Linked DNA regions of Xenopus tropicalis. The protein of the gene in region 1 interacts with the protein of each later gene in a biochemical or structural test. Links are inferred from orthologs where the notes say so. Each region holds a gene or a part of one and is shown on either strand. Other genes may lie near its edges.

Evidence for each region.
Region 2: the proteins of mc4r (region 1) and pomc form a complex in vitro, tested with the Homo sapiens proteins (2 studies listed by BioGRID). The link is inferred for Xenopus tropicalis from reciprocal best matches to the Homo sapiens genes MC4R and POMC.

The regions. Positions count from the first base shown.
Region 1 is NC_030682.2:84,341,071-84,345,447, forward strand, and holds mc4r (melanocortin receptor 4), read right to left. Parts: upstream 3,071-4,377; 5' UTR 2,780-3,070; coding exon 1,775-2,779; 3' UTR 452-1,774; downstream 1-451.
Region 2 is NC_030681.2:153,208,726-153,213,035, reverse strand, and holds the start of pomc (pro-opiomelanocortin precursor), read left to right. Parts: upstream 1-1,462; 5' UTR 1,463-1,501; intron 1,502-4,310.

The DNA.
Region 1 (4,377 bases):
CAATAGTTGCTCCCTAGGCAACAGTCTCTTCTGCCTAACCCTAGTTCCGGCCCTGTTACTTTTATAGAAATAGTTCTAACATGCATTTATTAACACGGCTCATTTTATGCTAATATTGTTTTTATTTAATAATAAAAACCTGTGTTTTTTTTATAATGACAGTCATTCTCTTTTATTTAATAAGGACCAATTTCATCAGTTTTAGAAATAAAGTACAGGTATGGGACCTATTATCCAAAATGCTCAGGACCTGGGGGGTTTTCAGATAAGGGGTCTTTCTGTCATTTGGATCTTCATATTTTAAGTCTACTAAAAATCACTTAAACATTATATAAACTCAGTAGGATTGTTTTGCCCCAATAAGGATAATTCTGTCTTAGTTGGGATCAAGTACAATGTTCTGTTTTATCATTACAGAGAAAAAGGAAATATGCTTTACAATTTTGAATTATTTTATTAAAATGGAGTCTATGGGAAATTACCTTTCCATAATTTAGAACTTTCTGGATAATAAGTTCCTGGATAATGATAAAAGTTTTCATAGCACAGAGGGAAAAAAATATACAAATATGATTAGCCAATTTTTAAGACAGCTTTTACCCCTCATTTAATGTTTTCTGTTGTAGTGTAGCCTCATGACCAGGAACAAAGCGAAAAAAAGCAAAACCCTACCCCAAATTTTATTATAAAGTTATGAGCAATCATACAGTTGTTGTCTAGGTGGTCACAAGGATATCCAGCAAATATCACACAGTTTTATCATTTAAATACAGTACACATTTTGGGGTATGGCTGATCACACACCAACTAATCTCCATGTGATTGGCAGTTCTGGCTGCTTAAGTAGATGCTAAACTGCTTCTGCTTCTTTTGAGAGGAGAGTGACCTTTGGCACCTGGTCTACTGGTGATCCCCAATATGGGCTAATGACAGATATCACCAGATTTTTAGGAAGGACAGACCAACTTCAATGTGTCTACTCAGTTTACTATCACAAAGAGACGCAGAAACAATATGGGGAAAAATGCACATGCTGTTTTATGCAGCAACGCAACCACATAAAGCATATGAAGTAAAAGAGCAGGTAGGAGCTACAGTGGGTTGAAGAGAAGTGGAAAGTACCAACAGTATAATATTTTAGCTGCTTGTCCCTTAATAGATCATGTATGTTCTTATTGGTAGTAACATTTCCCTCATTAAAAATGTTTTGCCCATTGACTGAAAGATCAATCTCACACCAACCTGGTATAACTATGTAGGAGGCCTTGAGTTATAACAGAGCGCTTGTGCTTGGCACAGGATTTGCTCTGTTCAATTAAAGCCCTGCCCAGCAAGTGATAACATGGGCATACAACCTGCGATGAGAAGATTTTCGTTCTCTCTCACAGATTATTTCATTCAACCCGAAGGTTGATCTAGGCCATAAATCATACATATTTAATAAAAATATATAAACTTAAAAAGTGCTCAACTGAGTGCTCTCTGAACATTTACTTAGCTACCAGAGGGATGTTGGGAGTTGCCATTAACAGTTAACATGCTGAATATGCTTAATGTATATGTTTAAGGTATGTAAAAACTGTATTTGAATTCTTCCTTCCAAGAGAATCTCTCTGATGCTGCGAAAACCTTGTTGCAATCCATATTCTAAAACTGGCTTTGCTTATACTGTAAGTAAGTATTCTGAGACCTTAGCACAGCTCTCATAGATAACAAATACAAATAAACAATGCATTACTGCTTATTACATTTGAAACAATTAGTTATCAGCATTTCAGTAACTGCTAGAAAAGTCCCATATTCCTCCCATACAGTAACAGCACATCATCTCCTTGAAGGTTTTTCTAAGCTCTTGGCTTCTTAGTGCATAAATAAGTGGATCAATAACAGAGTTGCACATAATAAGGATAAGGTAAATATTAAAGTGGGACATAAAACACACACAGTAAGGGTTTCTAGGGCAAGAAACATAGAAAATGAGATGAAGGAAGAAGGGAGACCAACAAGCTACAAAAACTCCAAGTAAGATTGTAAGTGTAATGGCTCCTTTCATATTGGTAACCTGTCGTACTGAGTTTGTCCCAGGTAGAACAGCAATCCTCTTAATGTGAAGCCTGGCCAGCATGAACATATGCACATAGAGGGATGCCATCAGAGCAAGCATTGTGAAAATTATACTTATCAGACAAATAATTACAACAGCACTGTCATAATAAATAATAAATAAGACACCAGAAATGGAGCAAGCAGTCCAGATGCAGCTGATAATGACCACTGCTCTCCTCACAGTAATTATATTATGGTACTGCAGGGCATAAAATATAGTGAAGTACCTGTCCACTGCTATCGAGAGCAAGCTGCAAATAGAAGCCAGCAAGGAGCTGCAAATAACAGAATCCAAGATATTGTCAACATTCACAATGATATGCTGCGTATTTTTGTCCGTAGTGTTAAACAGTGTGATTACTACAGTTTCAAAGCCATTAGACACACTCACAAGCATATCAGCTACTGCCAAGCTACAGATAAAGAAGTACATGGGGGAATGCAGATTCTTGTTTCTCGATATTGCTGCTATAACCAGTATATTTTCCATCAAGCTTACAATACCCAGGATGACAAACACTTCAGGGGACACAAATAATTGTTCGTAACAGCCTCCGGAGTGATGGCCTTTCTCTTTAGTGTCATTTGCTCCAGCGCCAACGGTGCGACTGTGGTTACGATAGTGCAGGTGATGTGGCTCATGGTGATGCGTGAAATTCATTATTCCCACCATTTACTTAGTGATGAAAAACATATGATTGGCTTTCTCCCAGAAGCTGCCAAGTTTGATATTATCAATTATGAAATGCAATCCAGTATGTTAATAGGAAAAAGATCCACAGTGGCATTTATGACAAGATATGTACGTTTCTTCAGATCTTCCGATTTTCATGCAAACTGCTTCCTGTATCCATGGTATTTTATGACCAAAAAAACTTTGTAGCTATTTTCTAGGTTATTCCAATATGTTGCTTGGATACTGAGAGGCAGGATACACAATGCTATTTCAGACTTCAGATGCAGCATCACCAGTAAGGCAGCCGAAGATTTTATACAGTGGAAAGCAATAGAATGAATAAACCCCTCCACCCTTTGTGTAGCAACCAATCAGAATAAAGATAAACTGGTGTCTGCAAATGCTAATTATACGGCAGCGGACATGCCAGACAGATCTGTGATATAATGCTTTCGTTGAGATACAAGGGAATGGAGAACTTGCTACAGCCTTCAATCACAACATTTGCCCCAAAAGGTTAATGCAAATCAATTTGTTCCAGTTACAGATGTCTTCCTATTGTGAGGATGCAAGCTTTTTGATAGATTATATCACCCCCTCTACCCAATAAGGTTTTTTAAAGTGCCATACAAAACTTGCTGCAGAAAAGACCTTGAGTAAAATGATGAAATATAATAGAAACAAATATTTTAGCTACATTTCTATATACAAAACAAAATGCATCTAAAACAATATTTTTTCATATTTTTTATTTCTTGGGTCCACTAGTTGTACCACTAAAATGCATATGCTTATACAGGTATGGGATCCATTATCCGGAAACCTGTTATCTGGACAGCTCTGAAGGAGGCCATTTCCCATGGACTCCATTTTAATAAAATTTTTAAAAGTGATTCCCTTTTTCTCAGTAATAACAAAACAGTACTTTGTACTTGATCCCAACTAAAATATAATTAATCCTTATTGTGGGTGAAACAATTATATTGTTTATTTAATGTTTAAATGATTTTTAGTAGACTTAAAGTATGGAGATCCAAATTATGGGAAGATCCCCTATTCATGAAACCAGAGGTCCTGAGCATTCTGGATAACAGGTCCCATACCTGTACTCAATAATTCCACATGGGCCACAAAACTACTTATAATATTATATATGTGTGCAAATTACATGAAGTTTTATTAGATACACTGCAAAGTGCCACAAACTTTAATATAGGTCAACAGTGAGTGAATAGCTAAATTACTTTCTGAGTTATACTACATCAGGGGTCCTCAAACTTTTTAAACAGGGGGCCAGTTCATGGTCCCTCAGACTGTTGGGGGGCCAGACTATAGTTAGTCCTCACACTATGCCCCCCCCGGCCCCCACTGCATCCTCACCCCTGGCAGCGTGGTCCCCAGCCTCAGTGCTGCGGTGACGCAACGCGATGGGGCCCGAGGACCATGATAAGGCAGACAGGTAGTAGCCAGGGTTAGGGATGCAGCGGGGGTGGGGGCCGGGTAAATGACCTTGGGGTTTGAGGCCCCCTGTACTACATAGATGTTAACATGCATAAAGAAAATATTTTTGCATTGAGTATATTTTTTCTGCCAGC
Region 2 (4,310 bases), on another chromosome or scaffold:
ACTGCTCCACCCTATTGGCCCACCCCACTGTCCCACTCCATCCACCCTACTGTCCCACCCTACTGTCCCAACATACTGTCCCACCCTACTGTCCCGTCCCACTGTCCCACCCTACTGTCCCACCCTACTGTCCCACCCCACTCTCCCACCCCACTGTCCCACCCTACTGTCCCACCCCACTGTCCCACCCTACTGTCCCACCCCACTGTCCCACCCCACTGTCCCACCCTACTGTCCCGCCCCACTGTCCCACCCTACTGTCCCACTCCACTGTCCCACCCTACTGTCCCACCCCACTGTCCCACCCTACTGTCCCACTCCACTGCTCCACCCTATTGGCCCACCCCACTGTCCCACTCCATCCACCCTACTGTCCCACCCTACTGTCCCACCCTACTGTCCCACCCTACTGTCCCACCCTACTGTCCCAACATACTGTCCCACCCTACTGTCCCAACATACTGTCCCACCCTACTTTCCCACCCCACTGCTCCACCCTATTGGCCCACCCCACTGTCCCACTCCATCCACCCTACTGTCCCACCCTACTGTCCCAACATACTGTCCCACCCTACTGTCCCAACATACTGTCCCACCCTACTGTCCCACCCCACTAGTACAAGGCCAACCATGACTTTAGAAAGTCCAAATTTAGATGAGCAACTGCCATCCTGAAACAGGAACGAAAGAAAACACTGAAAGAGCTTCAATAGTTACAATTTATAATAGCATTTTCTTCAATTTTGTTCAACTTATTCTTTTTTTCTTGCTATAAGGCCAATGATATGTAACTAGTAGTCTGTCCCACTGTGTAGTAAAAGTAACTTTTGCTTCTTTAGCCCATGTTAAAGAGTTCAATATGGGACCCGTTTTCCAATACTCCTGATATTTCTGATACATGTAGTCGACGCAATCAAGACCTGTTGTGGATTCTGTTAGGGTGGATAGAGGCAATTGACCCCCCTGATCCCCATGTAAATGCCCTTTCTGACCAACACCTGTTCCTTTAGTGGCTTTTCCCTATTAGATGGAAACTGGCCGTCACCCTAATTAAAGAGTAGCAAAACCAATTGGGTTCAACCCGCTCAGAATACACCATTTACGTATTTGCCTTGATCATTTATTGCTATTTAATGCCAACTGCAAAGGGTGAATAGCTTCTAATTAATCTCCGTTAAAAAAGTTCAATCCCGGGGGATTGGGGAACCTTTGTCTTTCTATAGGGAAGGTGCTAATCCCTGTTGTCCACGGAGATATCATGTACATGACTTTCCAGCAACCTTTTCTTTCCTAATCATCCGTTCTGTCTCTTACATGCAACCTTATACCCTGACTTTTCTCCTCCTCCTCCTCTTCTGCTGGGAAAGGTCTGTCCGGAAGATCCTCCGTTCCCTTCTCCCCCCTAGACAATGCTAAAATGTGGTATATAAAGACCAGCCCTGGAGATGAGAGAAGGACACAGGCAAAGAAGTGCACAGCTTGGAAATACTGAAATCAACAGGTAAGAAAGCCCTTTCCCACATACAGTCTCCCTTTCCTCATACATTGCTTATACCTAAGCCTTCCCCTGCCTCTACTTTATTCCTTTTGATTTTTTAAAGTTTAGAAAAAGCCCCCCCAAAAATATTTAATATTCTTTTATTGAAACAGGTTCCCTCTTCGTTTGCTCTTCTTTTATCTGTGTTTTCAAAAATGTACTGCATTGCAATTTCATGGGCAACGATATTAAATAATGACATGAAACAATTTTTAATGGCTTTTAAATGTAATAATATGTGTAAATATAGCAGTTTTAAAATCTAAAATGGTTTTAACGATTTTGTAATACAGGTATAGGATCCGTTATCCAGCTCCAAATTACAGATAGACTCCTTTTTAATCAAATTTTAAAATATGTTTTCCTGTTTTTTCTGTAATAATAAAACAGTACCTGTACTTGATCCCAACTAAGATATAATTACCCCTTATTGGGGCAGAACAGCCCTATTGGGTTTATTTAATGTTTAAATGATTTCCTTTTCTCTGTAATAATAAAACAGTACCTGTACTTGATCCCAACTAAGATATAATTACCCCTTATTGGGGCAGAACAGCCCTATTGGGTTTATTTAATGGTTAAATGATTCCCTTTTCTCTGTAATAATAAAACAGTACCTGTACTTGATCCCAACTAAGATATAATTACCCCTTATTGGGGCAGAACAGCCCTATTGGGTTTATTTAATGGTTAAATGATTCCCTTTTCTCTGTAATAATAAAACAGTACCTGTACTTGATCCCAACTAAGATATAATTACCCCTTATTGGGGCAGAACAGCCCTATTGGGTTTATTTCATGGTTAAATGATTCCCTTTTCTCTGTAATAATAAAACAGTACCTGTACTTGATCCCAACTAAGATATAATTACCCCTTATTGGGGCAGAACAGCCCTATTGGGTTTATTTAATGGTTAAATGATTCCCTTTTCTCTGTAATAATAAAACAGTACCTGTACTTGATCCCAACTAAGATATAATTACCCCTTATTGGGGCAGAACAGTCCTATTGGGTTTATTTAATGGTTAAATGATTCCCTTTTCTCTGTAATAATAAAACAGTACCTGTACTTGATCCCAACTAAGATATAATTACCCCTTATTGGGGCAGAACAGTCCTATTGGGTTTATTTCATGGTTAAATGATTCCCTTTTCTCTGTAATAATAAAACAGTACCTGTACTTGATCCCAACTAAGATATAATTACCCCTTATTGGGGCAGAACAGCCCTATTGGGTTTATTTCATGGTTAAATGATTCCCTTTTCTCTGTAATAATAAAACAGTACCTGTACTTGATCCCAACTAAGATATAATTACCCCTTATTGGGGCAGAACAGTCCTATTGGGTTTATTTCATGGTTAAATGATTCCCTTTTCTCTGTAATAATAAAACAGTACCTGTACTTGATCCCAACTAAGATATAATTACCCCTTATTGGGGGCAGAACAGCCCTATTGGGTTTATTTAATGGTTAAATGATTCCCTTTTCTCTGTAATAATAAAACAGTACCTGTACTTGATCCCAACTAAGATATAATTACCCCTTATTGGGGGCAGAACAGCCCTATTGGGTTTATTTCATGGTTAAATGATTCCCTTTTCTCTGTAATAATAAAACAGTACATGTATTTGATCCCAACTAAGATATAATTACCCCTTATTGGGGGCAGAACAACCCTATTGGGTTTATTTAATGGTTAAATGATTCCCTTTTCTCTGTAATAATAAAACAGTACCTGTACTTGATCCCAACTAAGATATAATTACCCCTTATTGGGGGCAGAACAGCCCTATTGGGTTTATTTAATGGTTAAATGATTCCCTTTTCTCTGTAATAATAAAACAGTACCTGTACTTGATCCCAACTAAGATATAATTACCCCTTATTGGGGGCAGAACAGCCCTATTGGGTTTATTTCATGGTTAAATGATTCCCTTTTCTCTGTAATAATAAAACAGTACCTGTACTTGATCCCAACTAAGATATAATTACCCCTTATTGGGGCAGAACAGCCCTATTGGGTTTATTTCATGGTTAAATGATTCCCTTTTCTCTGTAATAATAAAACAGTACCTGTACTTGATCCCAACTAAAATAGTTTATAGTTAACTGAATCTATCATGGCAGCAACTGGTTAATGCAGAGACACACATATATAAATAAATAAGTAAATATATATATATATATACACTCACACACATATTTATTCAATAACGTCGCAGCAATGAAAACACTTTACTGTAGAACAGTTTGAAGTTGGAGCTGAATGGCTGCGCAGCGCGGGGCTCCATACAATTCATACAAAGGCACCAAGGTTATTCTTCAAACCCTCTTATCAATATTTATTCTTTTTTATCTCTTTATTTGGTGAGTTTTATTGGCTCTGATAAACTTACTGTATATGTAATGTGTATCCTACACCGGCGTTAGAGTTGTTTAATTCCAAGCAAGTTATACAGATTATGTCCAATGTGTTATTTGGATTTAATTATAGTTTTATTACACAAGGGACTAAACGTTTTTCACTGTCATTCTTTTTCCCATATATATATATATATATGCAGTATATATATATGTATATATGTGTGTGTATGTGTTTGGGGTAACAGAATGAAAGTGAAAACACAAGAACAACAGATCCTATTAGAAACACAACCCATTCATTCATTTTCTATATAAAATATATAATAAAATGTATTATTTTGACTCACTTACAGTTGTATTGGACAAGGGACTAAAAGTTTTTTACCTTCATTCTTTATCCTATG